2 linked regions of the Mytilus edulis genome follow. The protein of the gene in region 2 interacts with the protein of the main gene of each other region in a biochemical or structural test. Links are inferred from orthologs where the notes say so. Each region holds a gene or a part of one and is shown on either strand. Other genes may lie near its edges.

Region 1 (3,762 bases), about 7.3 Mb from region 2:
TTATACACTGTATATTTGTCTCATTGGAAATCATATCACATCTCCTAATTTCTATTATATATATTTAAATTTAGCAAATTCTGTTCCTTAACTTAATGTAGATTCATCACAGTCTTTTTATAATAAATTGAGCGGAAGTGTTAAAATTACATGGACCTGTTAAATTTTTACAAGTATTCTAATCTCTTACTTATAATAACAGTTCGACACAATTATTTTTCATTTCATCTTTTATTTAGAATGTACTTACTATTTTTCTGAGCTGGGATATTTTCTGTGCCATTTTCTTTAGGGACATCAACCTCCCCAGGACAGGTAACCCCTGGAATCTTTGCCATATTTGGTGGAGGACTTCTAGTTAGTGGGGAGTTCCTACACTGCATCAAGAAATTCCTCTCATAAAAAATCTTTGTTCCTAAAAATGAAATAGGACGATCTCAACTTAATAAAATTCATAGTACACACATTATGAAAACTCTAAGTTTTAACCAAAAAAAATTTTTAAAAAATTTACTCTCCTTGACCATGTTGACTTGTACCAACAAATGCACTTACCAAGGCAATCACTGGTCATGATCATTGTCATTTTTCAGCATTGCTTATACATGTACAAACAAAAACCAGTGTGTTTATTATTATGTAAATAAACAGTGAAGAAATAAAAGAAAATAAAATAGAGATTTCTTACAAATTTTTGGTCTGACAAAAGTTATCTATTAACCTGTCCCTACTACTAAAGAGATAGTGAAGTACCGTAAGCCTTGGCCAGTAAGGAGGTGTTCACCGCAAGGATACATGTACATAATTACATGTTTCCCACAAGTCAGGTCAATGACATGTACAGTATATGTATAATCGTGTACATTTGTTCATAAACAACAACATTGCATACTCTGTCAATTTGTTATTTAAAATCAGAAAATTGAAAATTGAAAACATGCCTGGGAAAATACATGTACAACAAAATTTCTTTAAGTAATGTTTATTTCTGCTTTATTTATTTTCCATTGTTCAAATCAATGAATGATATAATAGTAAAATGACTCATGAGAAATAACAGATGTTAACACTATACCAAATTTCATACTCAAGGGTGAACCTGAATAATATTAAAAAGTTTTTATTCATGTTTACTCATCGGTCCACTACTTCACTTTTAGACTATCAAATAATTGTCATATCAGAACTAGAGAGAGAAAAAAAAACACCTTGCTCTGGTTTAAATCCATGTATTAATACATAAATATATATAAGTAAGCAGATCAGGTCAATGACTCCTGTTTTAATTAATCAATGAGGACAAGTGTTGCAATTTGTTATTTAAAGAAATGATAACATATCTACTGTACAATTACATAAGGTACATGTAGCATCATGTACATGTAATTACTCAATAGCATGAACAGATAAATATTCAGTTTAATACATACACATTTATTTACAATTTACCCCTAAAAGACTTATGACCAAATTGATGCATCATTATGTACCCACAATACAATGATTGACCTATATATATATTAAATTACTAGGTCAATCTATTTATAGTTGAACAGAGTTCAATAAGCAAGTTTGAGGGGTTGAAATTGTTGCATCATTACTATTTAATTTTGTGACAAAACAAAGTACATGTTTCAGATAGTATGTTTACTCAAATAACTGTTACTGTTATTACATGTATGTACTAAATTTAACATATTTAATCTATTCTATATACACAAATCCTACATGTACATGACATGTCAAGCCCCAGTTTGGTTATTAATAAAAAGATCTCTTCACAGCACAATTATTCTGAAAAGGCAAAACTCTTAAATTTTACATTAAAAACATGTATAGATGTAAATGTATATAAAAAATATACTATAGTCTATACAAATCCTTGATGTATAAAATATTGTTGTTGACATTTTATATTATCTTTTTAGTATACACAACTTGTTGCCACTGTGTGTTTGTACTCTAAGGATAATCATATTCAAATGTTAACTAAATAAACATTACAAAACTTTACGTTGGGCTGTTTATGAGGCAGAGTTGCTGTGACCTAAATCATGAATGACATAATATGGGTCACATGGCTGCAAAAACATTAGTAAGTCGCCATTTTGAAATAAACATGCTTGTTTACAAACAACAAAATCTGCATACTGTATCACAACTTATATCACTATTCCAGACATGCATTTGCAAATAATATCTTAAACTGGAAATAAATAAAACTATAAAAGAAGACATGCGCTCACCTCCTGGAGTTGTAGAAAATAACGAACCGCCTGGTGTCGTACTGTAATCATTTGGGAGCTGTGATAAATCGTTTAACACTACTCGTCTGGGAATACTCTGTCCTTTAACATGTTGTTGAGGAGACCCAGATTTTGACATATTAAGATTAATTAACGAAAAGTGTTTAAAAATACGTCCAAGCCTTGTCTCCTTCACTTCTGTCTGTCTGTAGAATGTTGTACTCGCGTTAACCTCCGACCAAAACACAAACAAGTCACATGGCAAGTTGACCTCGTAATTTCCGACGAACCTACGGAGGTAAACGAAGTGGTCATCTTCCTTGTTTACGTTGTATAGTTCGTGAGGCGGTTGAATTTAAAATAGTTTATTAATACTTGAAATAGAAAAAAAAAATTGTATTGTATTACATTATATGATCTTATATGTCTCTCATAAAAATAAAAGCACATGTCTAAACACTATTAGTCCCAATTACTTACACGAAATTAAAACAAAGAACATTAGTACACAAAGTATTTCAATGATTACATTGTTGTTTTATTGATCCCTATCAGAAGCATGGAATTCATTGTATATTTTAAAAATATACCATTCCTTGGTAGAAGTTATGACAGTTATTGTCCTTGAAAGACACAGGCACTAGTCTCTCAGAAAAAAATTTCCTATAATCAGTAACCCGAATAATTCAGTCGTTATATTCCGCTGATCTACGAAGGCTACATTAACGCCTGAACGTCTTCCTCGATCAAGACCGTCAACCGGAAAATTCACACCCCTTTGCAATATGGGAATTTTGATTTAAATTGGCAGCTAAAGAAGGAGGAGTTCCGGATGTTAATTGATGATAAATGATGTAAACTGATGTTAATTGATGTTAATTAATTATTATCGGATTTGTGTTAATTGAACACACGTGTTTGGTAAGACAATTTCAAGAGAGTTGCGCCGACTCATATCCTGATCGCCGCTGATTGGCTCTCTCTCACAGAGAGCAGGCGACGCGGCCAATGATCACAAAGAGTTCAAGCCTTCGTGTGGGAGAAAATCGGACACGGAAAGGGCTTGAATTATTCGAGTTATATAATCAGAGACATATAATACATATGTCTCTGCTATAAATTAATATACCTTTTTATTAACCAACTAAGTGCATTATTTCCAAAAGTGACTGTTTATTAAAAATTACATATGTTCTGTAATGGCCCTGTTTTTTTTCTGTAATGGCCCTGTTTTTCTGTAATGACCCTGTTTTTTTCTGTTACAAATGGCCCTGTTTTTCTGTAATGGCGCTGTATTAATGCCCAGTTTTTTATTTTGTTCAAACTAAACTGTCATTAAAAGAGTAAGACAGTACATCAAGTTAGCAGCAACACATACACTTTTGTACAGTTGGTTAATAAATGTATTATATAAGAAATGGGTGTTTTTATAATGGCCCTGTTATATGTCCTCGGTCAGTAATAATGGCCTCGGATGTCTGTAATAGCCCTCAGCGTAGCCTCGGGCCATTACAGA
Region 2 (3,762 bases):
TTTGGATCTTGGAAAAGAAATTTCTGGGTCTCACACGCCAAGTTCATGTGAAGATGTTGAGGTAATGTAAAATAAGTATAATAATTGAAACACAGTGGATTTTAGATATAATATTTGTAATTCATGTTGTTCGTAGCCATGGTAATCATTTATATCTTGAATCTTTTTCATACTGTATGAATAAAAATAAAAATATACATTTTATGCACTGTTGAGCATGTTTATTTACATTTTTGTAGTTTGAATAATGTAACATTTTAATCATACCTCAATTTTTTTCATGTTTGTACTACAGAAGATGTATATATACATGTATATTGTTGCATGTAGCTTGTTGTTCGGTGTGAGTCAAGGCTCCGTGTTGAAGGCCGTACCTTCACCTATAATTGTTTCATAAATTGTTTTTTGGATGGAGAGTTGTCTCATTGGCACTCATACCACATCTTCCTATACCTATATATACAAGTGTTGCACATTAGTCAAATTACCATTCGTAGGCTACGCGTACCCACATCCGGTTTTACAATAAAATGGCATCGGATTGGGAACATGGGGAATGAAACGTGAAATATGATCAAATATAAACGAAATTTGTTGCAGTTAGTGAATAAATTGACTAAAACCACTCAGAAGTTTTAATTTATAAATATTTATATATAGGTATACATTTCAAAGTTATCATGAATAATTGTAACTATCAGTCAATCAATTTTATACAATTGTATAAAAGAAACTTGGAGTCAATAGACAACTTTCGAGTTCGATGTTGTTTGGACTGGTAACATTTGAAATGTGCAGGGTTGAAAAATGTGCCAAAACATTTAACCTATTGGATATATAAAAAAATTTCAAAATCTTTTAAACTAGTTACATAAATCTTATAAAATTGGTTTATTATGACATTATTACCTGCTTCTTTAATTCAGTTTTATATAGACATCCAAGCTTTAAGTAGTTTAAGATGTTTTATAATTTCAGTTTCTGTTTTACATTTCACTAAAAGATTATTTTTAAATCTCATATGGGTGGTTTTCAAATTCAGTAAAATCTAATTCTTTAAATATGCATTTACATTTAATAATAGTACTAATTTTTATCATAAAATTGAGAAAGGAAATGGGGAATGTGTCAAAGCGACAACAACCCAACCATAGAGCAGACAACAGCCGAAGGCCACCAATGGGTCTTCAATGTAGCGAGAAACTCTCGCACCCGTAGGCGTCCTTCAGCTGGCTCCTTAAGAAATATGTATACTAGTACAGTGACAATGGACGCCATACTAAACTCTGAATTATACACAAGAAACTAAAATTAAAAGTCATACAAGACTAACAAAGGCCAAACATGCCAGAGGCTCCTGACTTGGGACAGGCGCAAAATTGCGGCGGGGTTAAACATGTTTATGAGATCTCAACCCTCCCCCTATACCTCTAGCTAATGTACAAAAGTAAATGCATAACAATACACACATTAAAATTCAGTTCAAGAGAAGTCCGAGTCCGATGTCAGAAGATATAAGTATAACAAAAGAAAATAAATAAAATGACAATAATACATAAATAACAACAGACTACTAGCAATTAACTGACATGCCAGCTCCAGACCTCAATTAAACTGATTGAAAGATTATGTCTTCATCATATGAATATCAGACACAATCCCTCCATTTGGGGTTTAGTATCATACTATCATAAAATATATGATAAGAACATAACCTGTGTCATGCCAACAACTGTTTAAAAAAAATAAATGTGTTTAGTTCCGATGCAAAGACCCTATAAGTAAATCAATATTAAAGCCAAAATATGCAATCTTAAATGACCTGTCAACAGTATCAAAACTATATCCCTTCTTAATAAGTCTGTTTAAAGGTTTTGTAAGACTTTGAAGTGAATACTGACATTTTTGTGCATGTTTTTCATTTACAGGGACTGTGAAGTTTCATTTTCCATCAGTGTGCATTTAATTTGCAATATGGTTATTATGTATTATTATCTAATAAATACAATTTAAAAATATTATTTTTCATACTATTCACTCGTTCTACACGAAATCCCCACATTATCGATAATTTCCGTTTATATTTCACGTATCATTCCCGATTATTCCTGAATCATTCCTGATTTGAAAGCCTTTTATTAGAAAACCTGATGTGGGTACGCGTAGCCTATACGAATGGCATTGACTATTTGTACCCCCATGCGGGTACGCGCAGACATTGCCTATAAATAAGAACTTGGAAGATCAGGCATGAGTGCCAATAGATTGTTTAGATTTAGTTGCTGTTGTATAACTTATGTTAATTTGTCTGTACATTACAATTTTTTTTATTTCAGATACTGTCATACCTAATGCAGAGAAAAATTGAAACACATTGAAAATTCATAAAACACCTTATCACCATGATCAACACCATTTGTACGCTACTACTGGACTTCGCAAAGATTCTGGTAAAAATGTGATGTCATAATACAAAATATCTGATGCCAAAATGGAAAAGTGATTGTTGCTTGACATAAAAATATTAAGCAACACAGATTCTAGGGTCAACTGGCACAGATTTCAATTAACCATTTTTAGATGTATTCAAAAGGGAGAAGGGAATACCAAAGCACATGCAAATGACAATTCATTTCTTTTCATATCTGTATAAATAACTAACATTCAAATCTAGTTAATAAAAGATTGAAACCTTTTATTTTGGTTCTGTTTTTCAGTTGACAGTTGTAAAATTGTCACCCAAAAAATCGAAAAAAAACCTGGATTTTTCAAATTTTCAAAGGTATTATTTCCCTGTATGATTTATGTTTAATGTCATGAGAGTTCTGTGTTACCTTCATCTTATTCAAACCTTTCATTCAAACCATTTGATTGCAGAAATCTATTTTTGTTTGTGTTTTGTACAAATCTTGTGACTGCTTTCTGTTTATGAATAAAGACTGGAAGAAACGCGACGTATTCCGAGTAAATAATATAATTTATGTCCAGTTGTAATGATTTGGTAAGAATGTTCACCGTTAGAACATTTCTTTGTTGTAGTCAAAAGACTCAGAACGTACAAAAACAGCATTTCCGATTCAAACCATTTCTTCAATTGATTACATCAGAAGGTGCAATAATATTTTCCCCTCATTCATTCTTATTCAAAATTTATTAATCAAGTTACATAAAGATGCAGAAGATAAAAACGGTAAGAAAACGTAACAAAACTTTTAGTATTCACCCACAAAATAAGTGAATGCACTTAAAAATTACAAGTTTTGAAGTTTACGGCTCAATCCACTCAGCTCATTAAAACAAAAACAAACAAAACAAAAACAAAAACAAAACAAAAAAACAAATACAAACAAAAACAAAACATAACGGCATAACATAACATAACATAACATAACATAACATAACATAACATAACATAACATAACATAACATAACATAACATAACATAACATAACATAACATAACAAAACATAACATAACAATAAACATCATTATTGTACAATCCTAAAATCTGCTTAAAAAACAAAAAGACATTTCGTAGGGATGACATTAGGAACAACCACCCTTATGTACCATCTAAAGAAAAGAAGACAAGAGGGTGACGCTTTACACATAGGTCACAGGATACGAATGATAAATCCAGTCCTTTACTCAAGTAGTGTGGTCAATCATCTGAATACCAGTTGAGAAAACATCTCTGCAGTCGAGGGGACACTTTATCTGTCCCAATAAATGAAAATTTTACAAAAAGTCTCCGCATCAAGA

The links. The genes of interacting proteins can lie anywhere in the genome.
Region 1: of the proteins of leucine-rich repeat serine/threonine-protein kinase 1-like (region 2) and eukaryotic translation initiation factor 4E-binding protein 1-like, one has a biochemical effect on the other in vitro, tested with the Drosophila melanogaster proteins (2 studies listed by BioGRID). The link is inferred for Mytilus edulis from reciprocal best matches to the Drosophila melanogaster genes Lrrk and Thor.

Annotation. Positions count from the first base shown.
Region 1 is NC_092352.1:10,082,583-10,086,344, forward strand, and holds the start of eukaryotic translation initiation factor 4E-binding protein 1-like, read right to left. Parts: upstream 2,531-3,762; 5' UTR 2,386-2,530; coding exon 2,247-2,385; intron 416-2,246; coding exon 251-415; intron 1-250. UniProt on the Drosophila melanogaster protein: Repressor of translation initiation that regulates eIF4E1 activity by preventing its assembly into the eIF4F complex. Hypophosphorylated form competes with eIF4G1 and strongly binds to eIF4E1, leading to repress translation.
Region 2 is NC_092352.1:2,814,140-2,817,901, reverse strand, and holds the start of leucine-rich repeat serine/threonine-protein kinase 1-like, read right to left. Parts: upstream 2,926-3,762; 5' UTR 2,835-2,925; intron 2,697-2,834; exon of another isoform or gene 2,379-2,696; coding exon of another isoform or gene 2,337-2,378; intron 62-2,336; coding exon of another isoform or gene 1-61. Other genes in the region: uncharacterized protein, read left to right, coding at 1-61, 2,337-2,378.